2 linked regions of the Drosophila melanogaster genome follow. The protein of the gene in region 1 interacts with the protein of each later gene in a pairwise test. Each region holds a gene or a part of one and is shown in the gene's direction. Other genes may lie near its edges. The genes, in order: Clamp and Deaf1.

Region 1 (6,125 bases):
CAACAACTGGCGCCATGCTCATTTGAATACATACACAAAGGATTTTTACTCAATAACGGAACGATTTCCATGAATTTCATTACTCTTAACTCATTCTTAACATAACGGTTCAAAAACATAATTTCGGTTACATTCAAATACTGCGTTAGATCTACTCAATCTCCGACATACATATGTATATTAAGCCGATATAAAACACATGCGGTTTGAACACAGAATAAAAGCGGGAAAGATATATATCTTAATGTAAACACATAATTAATTTCTAATTTCTTTTACATCACAAGCAGCTAAACAGATATACATATATTTCATTTAAGTTCTATTACCACCAAATTATTTTTAAATAAGAGAGAACGCTTAAGCAAATTTGTTGGACATTGAGATACCGTTTACACAGCCAGAAGGAATGCAAAATATAAACAATGAAAACAAAAAGTTTTGGGTGTTGAATTGGTCGTGGCGAAATAGTTCAAGCATATCAATACAAATTATCAAGAAAAACAACTTAATTTTTTAAGATAAAGAACTTTTCAAAAGTATACGAACAGAAGGATTGGTAGCCGAAGACAAGAATATAAGCACGTTATAATGCCCGAAACGCTTCCTTCCGTTCCTTCTGACATAATTTTTTCCAAAACCATACACATAATCGTTCGAAATCACTACCATAAAACTTGTCTTTTCATTCCTCAAAAATAGCTAATAAATAAGCTTACTATCTCAAGACATTCCCTTAAATGCTGTTGTCATAAAAAACATTTGACCACGTTGGTTGCCTTGCCAACACTAATAAATTTTTGAATTTGGGCGCCGAGAGTATTTAAATCTTTTGGAAGCTGAAATTTTCCAACACCAAACAGGACTCGCAGAACTTTGTTCATCCAGGATCTTAAGCTCAAAACCAAAACGTATGCGAATTAAAATTGCTGCTATTTAATTATTTAAAAGAATAGTTTTTATTTTTTATTAATTAATATTTATTCGGCGACAGACTTCCTCACTTATACTATTACAAGACACTTTATTACTAGCTTATCTTTGATTTGAAGCTGTTCACGATCTCGTCCCGACTCAGACTGATCTTCTAAATCTTAATCCTAATCCACTCAACCTCGGCCAGAAGCTTTTCTTTAGGATTCTCTTAAGCTTTTTAATATGTTTAGGATAAAAGCTTTACACTGAAATTATTTCCCAGCATTGTGAAATTCAAATTTGCTGACTGACGCAGTTTGACTGAAGCGCAATAAGTTGACCATGGCTTGGTCTCCAAGTGGAAGTTGTGTTTACTTTAAGTTTGGTTATATATCGGGTGGCTAAGTGTTGGCGTCAAAAACAAGGGCAAAGGCAACGCTGCTGAGATTGGAGTTAGAAATTTGTTTAGCTTTTGGTAGAGTGCTATATTTATGGGTTGGATAACTTGCGTCACTACGTGGGGCATAAAAAATCTGTTGTCCCTTAACTCACTCCCCTACATCGAGTGATAAAGATAAATAGGAATTCCTAAAAGATTTAAGTATACAAAAATAAGTACGTTTTATATGGAATCTTTAAGAATTAGTTAAAAGTCGAGTGCCTGTAAAATTTCGTTATCTTATGGAATTTGTTATCAACCATGGCCCATGATCTTACCAAAGACACTAGAATATTCTAGTGTCTTTGCTCTTACAGTGTTACCTTAGCTTGTAGAATATTAAAAGTTAAGTCTCAATAAATTTAAAACGTGTTTTTAACGCAGCTCAGCACAAGATATTTCTTTTCGAAAGCTAGTAACAGCCAGATTCTACTGATCGTAGCGTTTGCCTTTTGAGTAAGAGACAACATGTAAGACAACATGTGATGTAATCCAAATTACGAAGTACAAAACGTATATAAAAATATTTATGTTTTCTGAGTTATCGAATTAGTGTAAAAGGGCTCTAAGAAATCCTACCAGTTCTTTGTGAATTTTGGTATATTTTCGAGGGAAATGATTATTTTCATGAGTCGTGAAACGGTCACACTTTTAAAAAGTAAAACTGCTGCTCGTCTGCTCTATCTCTGAGCGTTGTTCTGTCTCCATCTCTCTTTAGCAATCGTAAAAAATGATGGACTGAAAGTTAAAGTGCTGGAATTTGTTAGAAAAAGATAACACTATTTAAATATATATCTTGTATTATTCCAAACAATATATCGTTAAAATACGTTATCAATTCACGAATACAATTTTACACCACTCAAATCTTAACAATTTTATTGTGGAGCAGGCAGTGCGCAATTTATGGTGTGGTCCGGTTGCGTAAAAGGTAATTTTAATAATGAAAAAAATAACACATGTAGTGTAATATTGTATGATAAAAAAACAAATGTGCTAGACTCCAGTTTAGATACTAGAGTCTGTTAATGTAAAGAGCTGCTGCATTAAACGTTCGTCTGTGTATGTTTTGTGTCGCGTATGTACATATTTTTTGTCTCACCGTCGCCATTTTTAATCAGTCGTTTTCGCTGGGTTCCTATGGCACTATATTCATCTCTTTTTCTCTTTTATAGAATTAGCGTCGCGTGATGCAGTGTTGAAAAGCGCGACAGAGCTGCAGTAAATAAAAGGCCAACGTATGATAAAAGTTAATTTTTGAGCATACTCGAATTTTGGGGACCATGGAAGACCTTACCAAAAACATTATCTTCACAAATGCCATTAATGGGCAACCGGCCACAATTCAATACCAGACGGCGGATGGCACCATTCTTAAACAGCCCAAAATAGAGGGCCAAAAAACGGAGCAGCAGCCTACCTTCTATTACACGACAAATGTAAGTAGTTTACTTACTATATGTTATTGGTGCTGACTTTTCATATTGTCTTCACATAGGGCAATGGCGGTACCGTCAATCTCGCACAGCTGGCCACCACAGACGACAATAAGACGTGTTATATAGCCCAGCCCGTGGGCGGATACAATTACGCCCTGGTCAACGGAATGCCTCTCAATCAGGGTGCAGCTCTTGGCATCGCCACGGTAGACGCACAAGGCCGCATCCAGATTGTCAATCAAAATAAGCCAATTGCAGCTGTATGTAAAAGGAAGACTCGTTAAGCAAAGCCTAAAGATTTTCTTCTTTGCAGAACACCATATCCAACATAAGCTTTAAGTGTGACGTATGTTCAGATATGTTCCCTCATTTGGCACTTCTTAATGCTCATAAGCGGATGCATACAGACGGGGAACAGCAGCAACAACAGCAACATAACGCCCAAGCGGGCGGCGATTCTATTGCCGTGGTCAGCGCGCAGGGGCTTGTGCAGGCACAGAACATTATTGGAAATGGTCAGATGGGCCAGATACAGATTGTGTCTTCTGACACGCTGGAGCCGGTTCAGCAATCTGTAATGCAGCAGCAGCAACATGAGTCAAAGGCAAGCAAGTGCATAAATTGTGGAAGCTCTATGCTGCAGCAGTCCAAACGCAAAGGTCCAAAGCAGGTGCGCTGCGAGTCCTGCATGCAGGCTGAACAAACAGCGCAACAACAACAGCAGCTCTTCGTCGCCCAAGACGGTAGTTGTGAAAGATTACATTCTAAATGGACCATAACTAACTTCATCGCATCTTTTGCAGGTCAAATGGCGCATCCCGTGCAAATCATATCAACGACTCCTCAGGCCCAAGCACAACTTCAGCAAATTGTGGCTGCACAGACTGGCGGTACAACGCCAAAGCGAGAGGCGAGCAGTGGGTCTGGCCATCATCCTGTGAAAAAACGAAATTCCCAGCAGATGACCAAATGCCAGAAATGCAATGGCTCCGGCGTGGTGCTAGTGGGGCAGCACTCCCATGCTTCACACAGCGGGGTGGGCGGATCGGTAAAGCAATCAGTTACTGTTAAAACTGAGTGAGTATAACATGAAATTGCAACCTTATCCTACGCTAACAAAACCAAGGTGTTTGTCCTGCAGAAATCCGTCCAAACCCTTCAGTTGTAATATATGTGGTGGTCTGTTTTCACGTTACTCAAGTCTGTGGTCCCATAAAAAGCTGCACAGCGGTGAAAAAAACTACAAGTGCAGCATCTGTGGATTGGCCTTTGCTAAAGCCGTATATTTGAAAAACCACGCGCGCATTCATACAGGCGAGAAACCCTATAAGTAATACCAATCTTCTACTTGAAATTATACTCTTTATACTAATTACCGTTATCTTTACATAGATGCCAAACCTGCGGCATGCAGTTTTCACAGTCACCACACCTCAAGAACCATGAACGCACGCACAGTGGCGAGCGGCCCTATGTGTGCGGTGTTTGCGACAAAGGATTTGCGCGCCACGCTACTCTTTGGAATCATAGGCGCATTCACACGGGCGAAAAGCCATACAAGTGTGAAATTTGTGGATCGGCCTTTTCTCAGGCGGCGCACCTTAAGAACCACGCAAAGGTGCACTCCGGAGAAAAACCCTACAAGTGCGAGATTTGCTCTGCAGCATTCGCTGATCGTTTTGCACTCAAGCGTCACCGCGGCATACACCAAAAGTACGGCCAAACTGCTCCTCGCCAGACCAGCAGCGATGGGATGATAGTGCATAAGCAGGAGATTCCTGACATGGAGGATGAGGCCCAACAGGAAGTGATTATCGGTGGGTTATAGATAGTTTAAATGCAGAGGTGACAGGCAGCTTAATGAAGTCACAGACACTGGAGTCCACCCTGCTTAGCTTCAGTTTATCGAGCGTTACTATGATCATCTGCCTCCACCTATGCTAGCCCCAGAACCATCTCTAAGGGCGCATATATCACCACAATGATATTAAAGAATAGAAAACGATGTTCCATCGTTAACACTTCAGCTGCATATGTCCTTTCTCCACTTTCATGTGGGATCTTCAAAAATGGGCGAAACCCAAAAACGCTTTTTACGATAAGCATACAAATGAACCTAATTTATTTGATAGCTTGTATAATATACTTAAACATCTTTAAACATTAAACGCATATATGTATAGGCATCGTATTTATAAGTGTTATAGGCTATTCTCTTATACAAATTGTAGGTGTAAAATATGGATTTATTAGGTGACGATACGAGCAAATCCGATACGTATGAATATGCACAGGTAATAAACACACACATATAAGTTGAAAGTTGTAAGCTTAAATATATTTTAATTAAATCTATCTAATATAAGTATGTATTAAATAATGCATAAAATCAAATAAATATTTGAATAAAATACAATTTTTTACTAACCTACTCCATTTGCAAGTGCCTTAACGAAGAATAGAGGGATCCCAGAAATAGGCACATTTTCCACCGTTTTCGACGTCTTATGCGTTTTTTTTTTATTAATGTAAGCACCATTTCACTTTAAATATAATTTTTTTAGTGTTTTGCCACGTTCATCTTATTCTTACGTGAAGCTATAAGGTCAGTAAATTTTAATGTTGGCAATAATATAATTAATAAATACACAAAACTTTAAATATTCATAGACGTAAAAGAGTAAAATAAAGTTAAAATTTATCGAAAATTAGATGATGTGAATTACTGCTGTCTTTTCAAAAAAATTAGAGCTGTTGATTTGTAAAATGGACGCACTCTTTTAAACTTCTTATATTTATATTTTTGCGTATTATCTGTTAAAAATAAAATATTTTTACATATTTAAAGTAAAGTTGTGAAGTGGCAACGAATTTTTTACAATAATCAAAACCAAGTGTTTAAGAATTAGGATTCATGGCTTGTATAATAAAGCTTTAAATTACTAGAATTCGCCATCAGTTAAATCAAGATAAATACGTATACGTATACATTTGCGAACATGGACTTTGCTTAGGGTCCATTTTTGAATTTGCGGTCATTACAAACTTATATTCATATGTATATAGGATTATTCAAGAATGAATACATTTTAGTTACACGGGATTGTAGTTTTGTTTCTTTTAATGTCAACTGGTTTGCATGCACTATGCAATCATGATTATATAGGAAGATCTGTGTCTGTGGTTGGTCCACTTTTTATTTAATATTTCTGCTACAGCTTAAAAACTAAATCGTTACAAAGTTACGGAAAGGATGCGTACCACAATCCATATTTATCCGGCCAATTAAATTTGACCATGGTCTTTGCCGCTTGGTAGAGTCCTTTTATTCG
Region 2 (4,975 bases), on another chromosome or scaffold:
AGACATCTGGTTTCTTGGTCCCTGCAAAACATTTAGAGTTGATTATCAAAAAAGTTACTTGATTAATCTAGACAAAAGTACCCACCTTGATATTTCCAGATCCAAAACGCTTTGCGTTATGGAAGCCAAAAATTTATTCACTTGCTCACGGTTCCAGCCATTCTGACGCCAAGGATCAATAAGCTTCTCACAGAGATCGACGAAAAGATCGCGCAGCTCCCGATTGCGATGCAAATTGCAGGCGATGGTGATCAGGGCGCGCCAGTAAGAACTGCAAATCAAAACAGATCAATAGTAAGAAAAGGTGATAATGTCGAGAAATAAGTCCTTACCGAAAGTTGCCATCCAGTTCGTGAAAGGCGCGCTCGAGAAGAACGGGTTTGAGGCGCATGCAGACGAGGCTAAATGCAAGGACTAAACTATATAATAGCTCGTGTGCGGTAGAAAAATAAATCTCACTGCTTAATCTCCTTTTCCTTGTCGAGTAGACAGCGCAACTCCCGCAGGTCCAAGAGAAACTCTTTGTCCATTTCGGTATCATAGTACTCCGGTCCAGTGTGCTGCATTTAGTAAATTAGTTTCGTAAGGAATTAGCAGAGCTAAGTCATACCTGGTAAGTATACGTCCAGTAGATCATGATGGCATGGGAGCAGGTCAACAAATCACTGAAGCTCAGGTATTGCAACTTTTTTTTGGTGGTTTCGAAACGCAGGCAGGCCAGGAAAACAATGCAGGCGTACTTTCTGTAAGAGTGAAAGGTTTAGCTTTTTGAAGTTCAATACATTGATTATATTCATACTTGGCTAGATCGGTGGATATGATGAAGTGTTGCTTGATGTTGTTGGTTAACGTGCCCGGCATTTCCTCGACTGCCTTAAAAATGCGTTTTACGTTGTCAAATTGTCGGCTGAAGAAGAAGTTGAAATATATTAGACTCTACTCTGCCTAAGTAGCGGCCAAATTTACCCACCGAACTGATTTTAGCTTGACGCACGTCTTCTCGGCCACCTCGTCGAGGTCCTTGCGGTAGCGGGACGACAGCTTCTTGCCAAGAATTTCGCGAGCCACCACATCATCGATGGAATAGTACTTCTCGGTGATAAGGTCACGCATTTGTGGCTCCAGCTGGAAGCAGGATTGCTCCATCAGTTTGGTGGGTGCGTTTAGGTATAGTTCAATCAGGGAATAGGTGCGGTAATGATCCAGTACATCCGATGCAATCAGGTCGCTGGGAGCGCCCATGGAGTGACCAAAACCCTTCTGTTTCAGATAGGACACCGCCTCGCTGGCTATAATTGTAAATCGATGGAGCCGTTTGACATGAAACAAGATTGCAATTGGGAGAAGAAAACTTACAGGAGAAGCCTTCGATCCATAGCTGGTAAATTTCTGGATCGATGATTGTATAATTACTTATAAACACATCCACATCGGCCTGTAAGCATTCAGTTTTACTATTTATTATTATTTTGGATCATCAGATAGTTACCATTATATTGCTAGAGTGACCGTTTTCTGAACTAGCTGTCCAATTGGATATATCGAAATGTATGTTAGAGATGAAACACTGTGTAGTTCCAACACAAGCAGCATAGTTTATTCTTCTCATGAATTTAAAACTTTTCCTTGAAAGTAATAAATCGTTCTTGTTTTCATAACATCAATATATCCTATTAATAAACAAGCGAAAATGTTTAGAGTAATAATGGTAAAACCAAATTCGGTGTGATTTTGAGTTTTAAGATCAAGTCATAAGGAAATCTTTAAAATTGTAATTCTCAGAAATCTTAATTTAATATGCAAGATATATAGCTGTAAACTTTCCGATATTTAAAAACCAGAGATGGGGCACAGATAGCGAGCACGAATCACGACTATCGATAGTGCCGATAGCGGGCGATAGCTGCAACGCGCATGACAACTCTAGTTATCATGAGGAAGAAGAGGAGGATATCAACTTTTTTAGTAAATTAGTAAAGTTTAAGCTTAAAAAATGTAAATTGCAATGAACCACCAGCTGTAAATAGGGCAATGCAACTTGAACGCGACCTGCGCGCAATTCGCATGTAAGTCGTGGTGAGCGCTGAAAAAAACGCGGATCGCGGCGGCAGCAACAACAACAACAACAACAGACCGTCCGTCGTCTCGGTAGACGTCGAATAATATACATATATCGCAATAATCCAATTGCAAGTGGTAATCCGATGAACAATTCAAGTGCATTACTATCGTTGGACCGCAGAATAAGTGAAAGTGAACTGGCATAACAATACTATGGAACAGGTTGACTCCTCCACCGAGCTGCACCTGAATAGGAAAGATCTGGCCGCGCTGGCCGAGGATGTTGTGAAAGAAGAGGTGATATTAGAAAGCTCCAGCCATCACCATCATCATCATCACCACCAGGTAAGAAAAAGGAGCAACAAACGGCTGCGTAAGGAGCCCATTTGGTTTTGGATTTTCCATTCGCTTCTCCTTTGGCGGGGTGGTTTTGGTTCCGGACTGTGTGTTTGGTTCAGGTTCTATCTATTGAATCCGAAACCGAATCTGGCTCGAAAACCGCTCCGCTTCGCTCTGCGCAGTTGTGGAAAGTGGGTGGTGGGTGGTTGGGCTAGGTGGCCTGGGGGTGGCGCAACTTGCGCCCTACGGAACGCTCCGTGCGACCCACTGGGCCACAGGCATTCCCCGCTCGCCTTCTCGCCTCCATCCACTCCCAATTTGCCTCCTCCTCCTCGTTTTCCCCCTCCACCCACCGCATTTGTGGCGCACAAATGTTGTGTATACCGATTTTCATTTTTCCCATGCTGTGTTGTTTACTTACATTCGAATTTTCATTCCCGATTCCTGTGCAAATCGCATTGAATTAAATCGCAAACGCCATCAATTGGCCGCTGGACACTCACCCACATACATGTGACGAACGTGGGAATATGTGCGCTATGGTAATGCAGTTGGACACCAAGGTTCGCATGGTCACATCCTCCTCCAACGACAACAGTGGTAGCGGCGGCGCCAGTGGCGGTACAAGCGGAGCGGGCGGAGGAAACGGCGGTGGCGGTGTGGTTTCGGTGCCCGTATCCCTGCCCATCGGTTCGATGATAACCGGCACTACCTTCAATGTGATCACGCCCGACCAGCTGCCCCCTCACTTCAAGCCGATGCTGTGCGTCGACAACAATGGCTACCTGTCCGGCAGCACGGTCAGCATGGGCAACGACCTCAAGACGATCGTCATCCAGCAACAGCAGACGCAACCAGGCGGCGGCGGTGGCGGCGCCAATAATGCGGGCACCAATACGACCGCCACAAATACGATTGGACTGAATCACGATGGCTCCGGGAGCAACAATAGCCACGACAGCCTGGCCACCTTGGAGCACGCCGCGGGCGGAGCGAGTGGCGTCGGCGGTGGCGGCGGCGGAACGGGTGGTGGCTCCTCGGGATGGTCGGAGAACCCGTCAACCCAGCACAATGAGGTCTTCCAGATCCGCTGCAAAACCACCTGCGCCGAGTTATACCGCAGCAAGCTGGGCTCCGGCGGCCGTGGACGCTGTGTGAAGTACAAGGACAAGTGGCATACGCCCAGTGAGTTTGAGCATGTGTGTGGCCGGGGCTCCAGCAAGGATTGGAAGCGTTCGATCAAGTACGGCGGCAAATCGCTGCAGTCCCTCATCGATGAGGGTACGCTCACGCCGCACGCGACCAACTGCAGCTGCACCGTCTGCTGCGACGACGAAGCAGGTGAGTCAGGTGAGACGAACAACAATTACTACACACTCCCCCCTTCTGCATGGCGCACCGAGTTGACCTGGTCATCGGTCCGTCATGGTGTCCCAGGTGCAGGACTCGCGCACAAACCGAATTCATAACACCACAGCTTTAAAAACCCACCTGACTTCTGTTTATCAACAATTTTTTGTTTGCAAACTATAGGGTTTAAACAATTCCAAGTAATTGGAAATTTTACTCAGCAAGGGCTTCTTGGGCAAAAATGTTGCAAGAAATAATATTAAAACTTTCTTATTCTCAAGTGTGTATGTCATATTGTAACCCTATAGAACATCTCATTAAGGAATGAGATGTAATGATGAACTCCAATTAAGAACACAAGTCCGTTTTAAGTTGAAGGCAGCCGTCGGGCTGACATATATTTATTCAATTTCTTCTTTTGATTTTAGAGTAGGCAGAAATGGTTCTGTCAGCTCAACGTCTACAGAGTCTCTCCGATTTTACAGTTTTTTATATATTTGGACTTAGGCTAATCCGCGTAGCTGCGCTGCCGGGTACGCCAGCAGCGGAGCGGCGTTCTTATGTATATCTTATATATCTAGGCTTATCGGGAGAGCGAGATATGTATGTACGTATGTAATATGTATTTGGTCGGCGTGTGAATGCTGACCATGCACTTATACTTTTTGCCTTCGAGTGGGTGATCATGTTACATCCGCCCTGGCCTAACTGCGTGCATAAACATAAACATAAACATAGCAACAAAGTGCTGCCATAAGTTAATATGCTATTTTATTTAATTGTTCTTAATATTGCATAGGCACATACTACATCTCCCTCCTTTTGAAAAATAACGTAACCTAGTGAAGTTATTTTGATTATTAAATGCAAATTATTTTATTTTTATTTTTATTTTGTTTGTGTTTTTGTTTGAACAACAATAGTTGATTTTATAATGCAAAGATAAAAATATACGTAGTGTATGGAAAATTTGTATAAATGATTAAGGAAAATATAAGTTTAAATTCAATCATGAATGAAATTTCTTTAATCTATCTTTATGAACTATTTGTTTTTTGTTTTTATTAGTAAGTAGCGTAATATTGTTATTATCTCCTATGCTTTCTATCTTATAGGGCCCCGTATATTTAAAGTCTAATTTATGACCTACCTCATTTCTTAGTAAAACTTTATCTCCTACTTCTAATTCTATGTCTTTTATTTTTAAGTCATAATTTTCTTTATT

The links.
Region 2: the proteins of Clamp (region 1) and Deaf1 interact in a two-hybrid assay, tested with the Drosophila melanogaster proteins (2 studies listed by BioGRID).

Annotation. Positions count from the first base shown.
Region 1 is NT_033779.5:22,165,048-22,171,172, reverse strand, and holds Clamp (Chromatin-linked adaptor for MSL proteins), read left to right. Parts: upstream 1-2,029; 5' UTR 2,030-2,285; intron 2,286-2,529; 5' UTR 2,530-2,637; coding exon 2,638-2,793; intron 2,794-2,852; coding exon 2,853-3,053; intron 3,054-3,106; coding exon 3,107-3,536; intron 3,537-3,596; coding exon 3,597-3,870; intron 3,871-3,919; coding exon 3,920-4,123; intron 4,124-4,185; coding exon 4,186-4,621; 3' UTR 4,622-5,453; downstream 5,454-6,125. UniProt on the Drosophila melanogaster protein: Transcription factor involved in X-chromosome dosage compensation in males, the process by which transcription of the single X chromosome in the male is elevated. Binds to the DNA sequence (GA)n.
Region 2 is NT_037436.4:19,816,261-19,821,235, forward strand, and holds the start of Deaf1 (deformed epidermal autoregulatory factor-1), read left to right. Parts: upstream 1-1,913; 5' UTR 1,914-2,274; coding exon 2,275-2,406; intron 2,407-2,841; exon of another isoform or gene 2,842-2,930; coding exon of another isoform or gene 2,931-2,951; coding exon 2,952-3,750; intron 3,751-4,975. Other genes in the region: fibp, read right to left, coding at 1-21, 86-271, 333-401, 460-560, 611-743, 800-907, 971-1,289, 1,357-1,435 and 1 more. UniProt on the Drosophila melanogaster protein: Transcription factor that binds the homeotic Deformed (Dfd) response element. High affinity binding sites contain at least 1 TTCG motif surrounded by additional TCG sequences.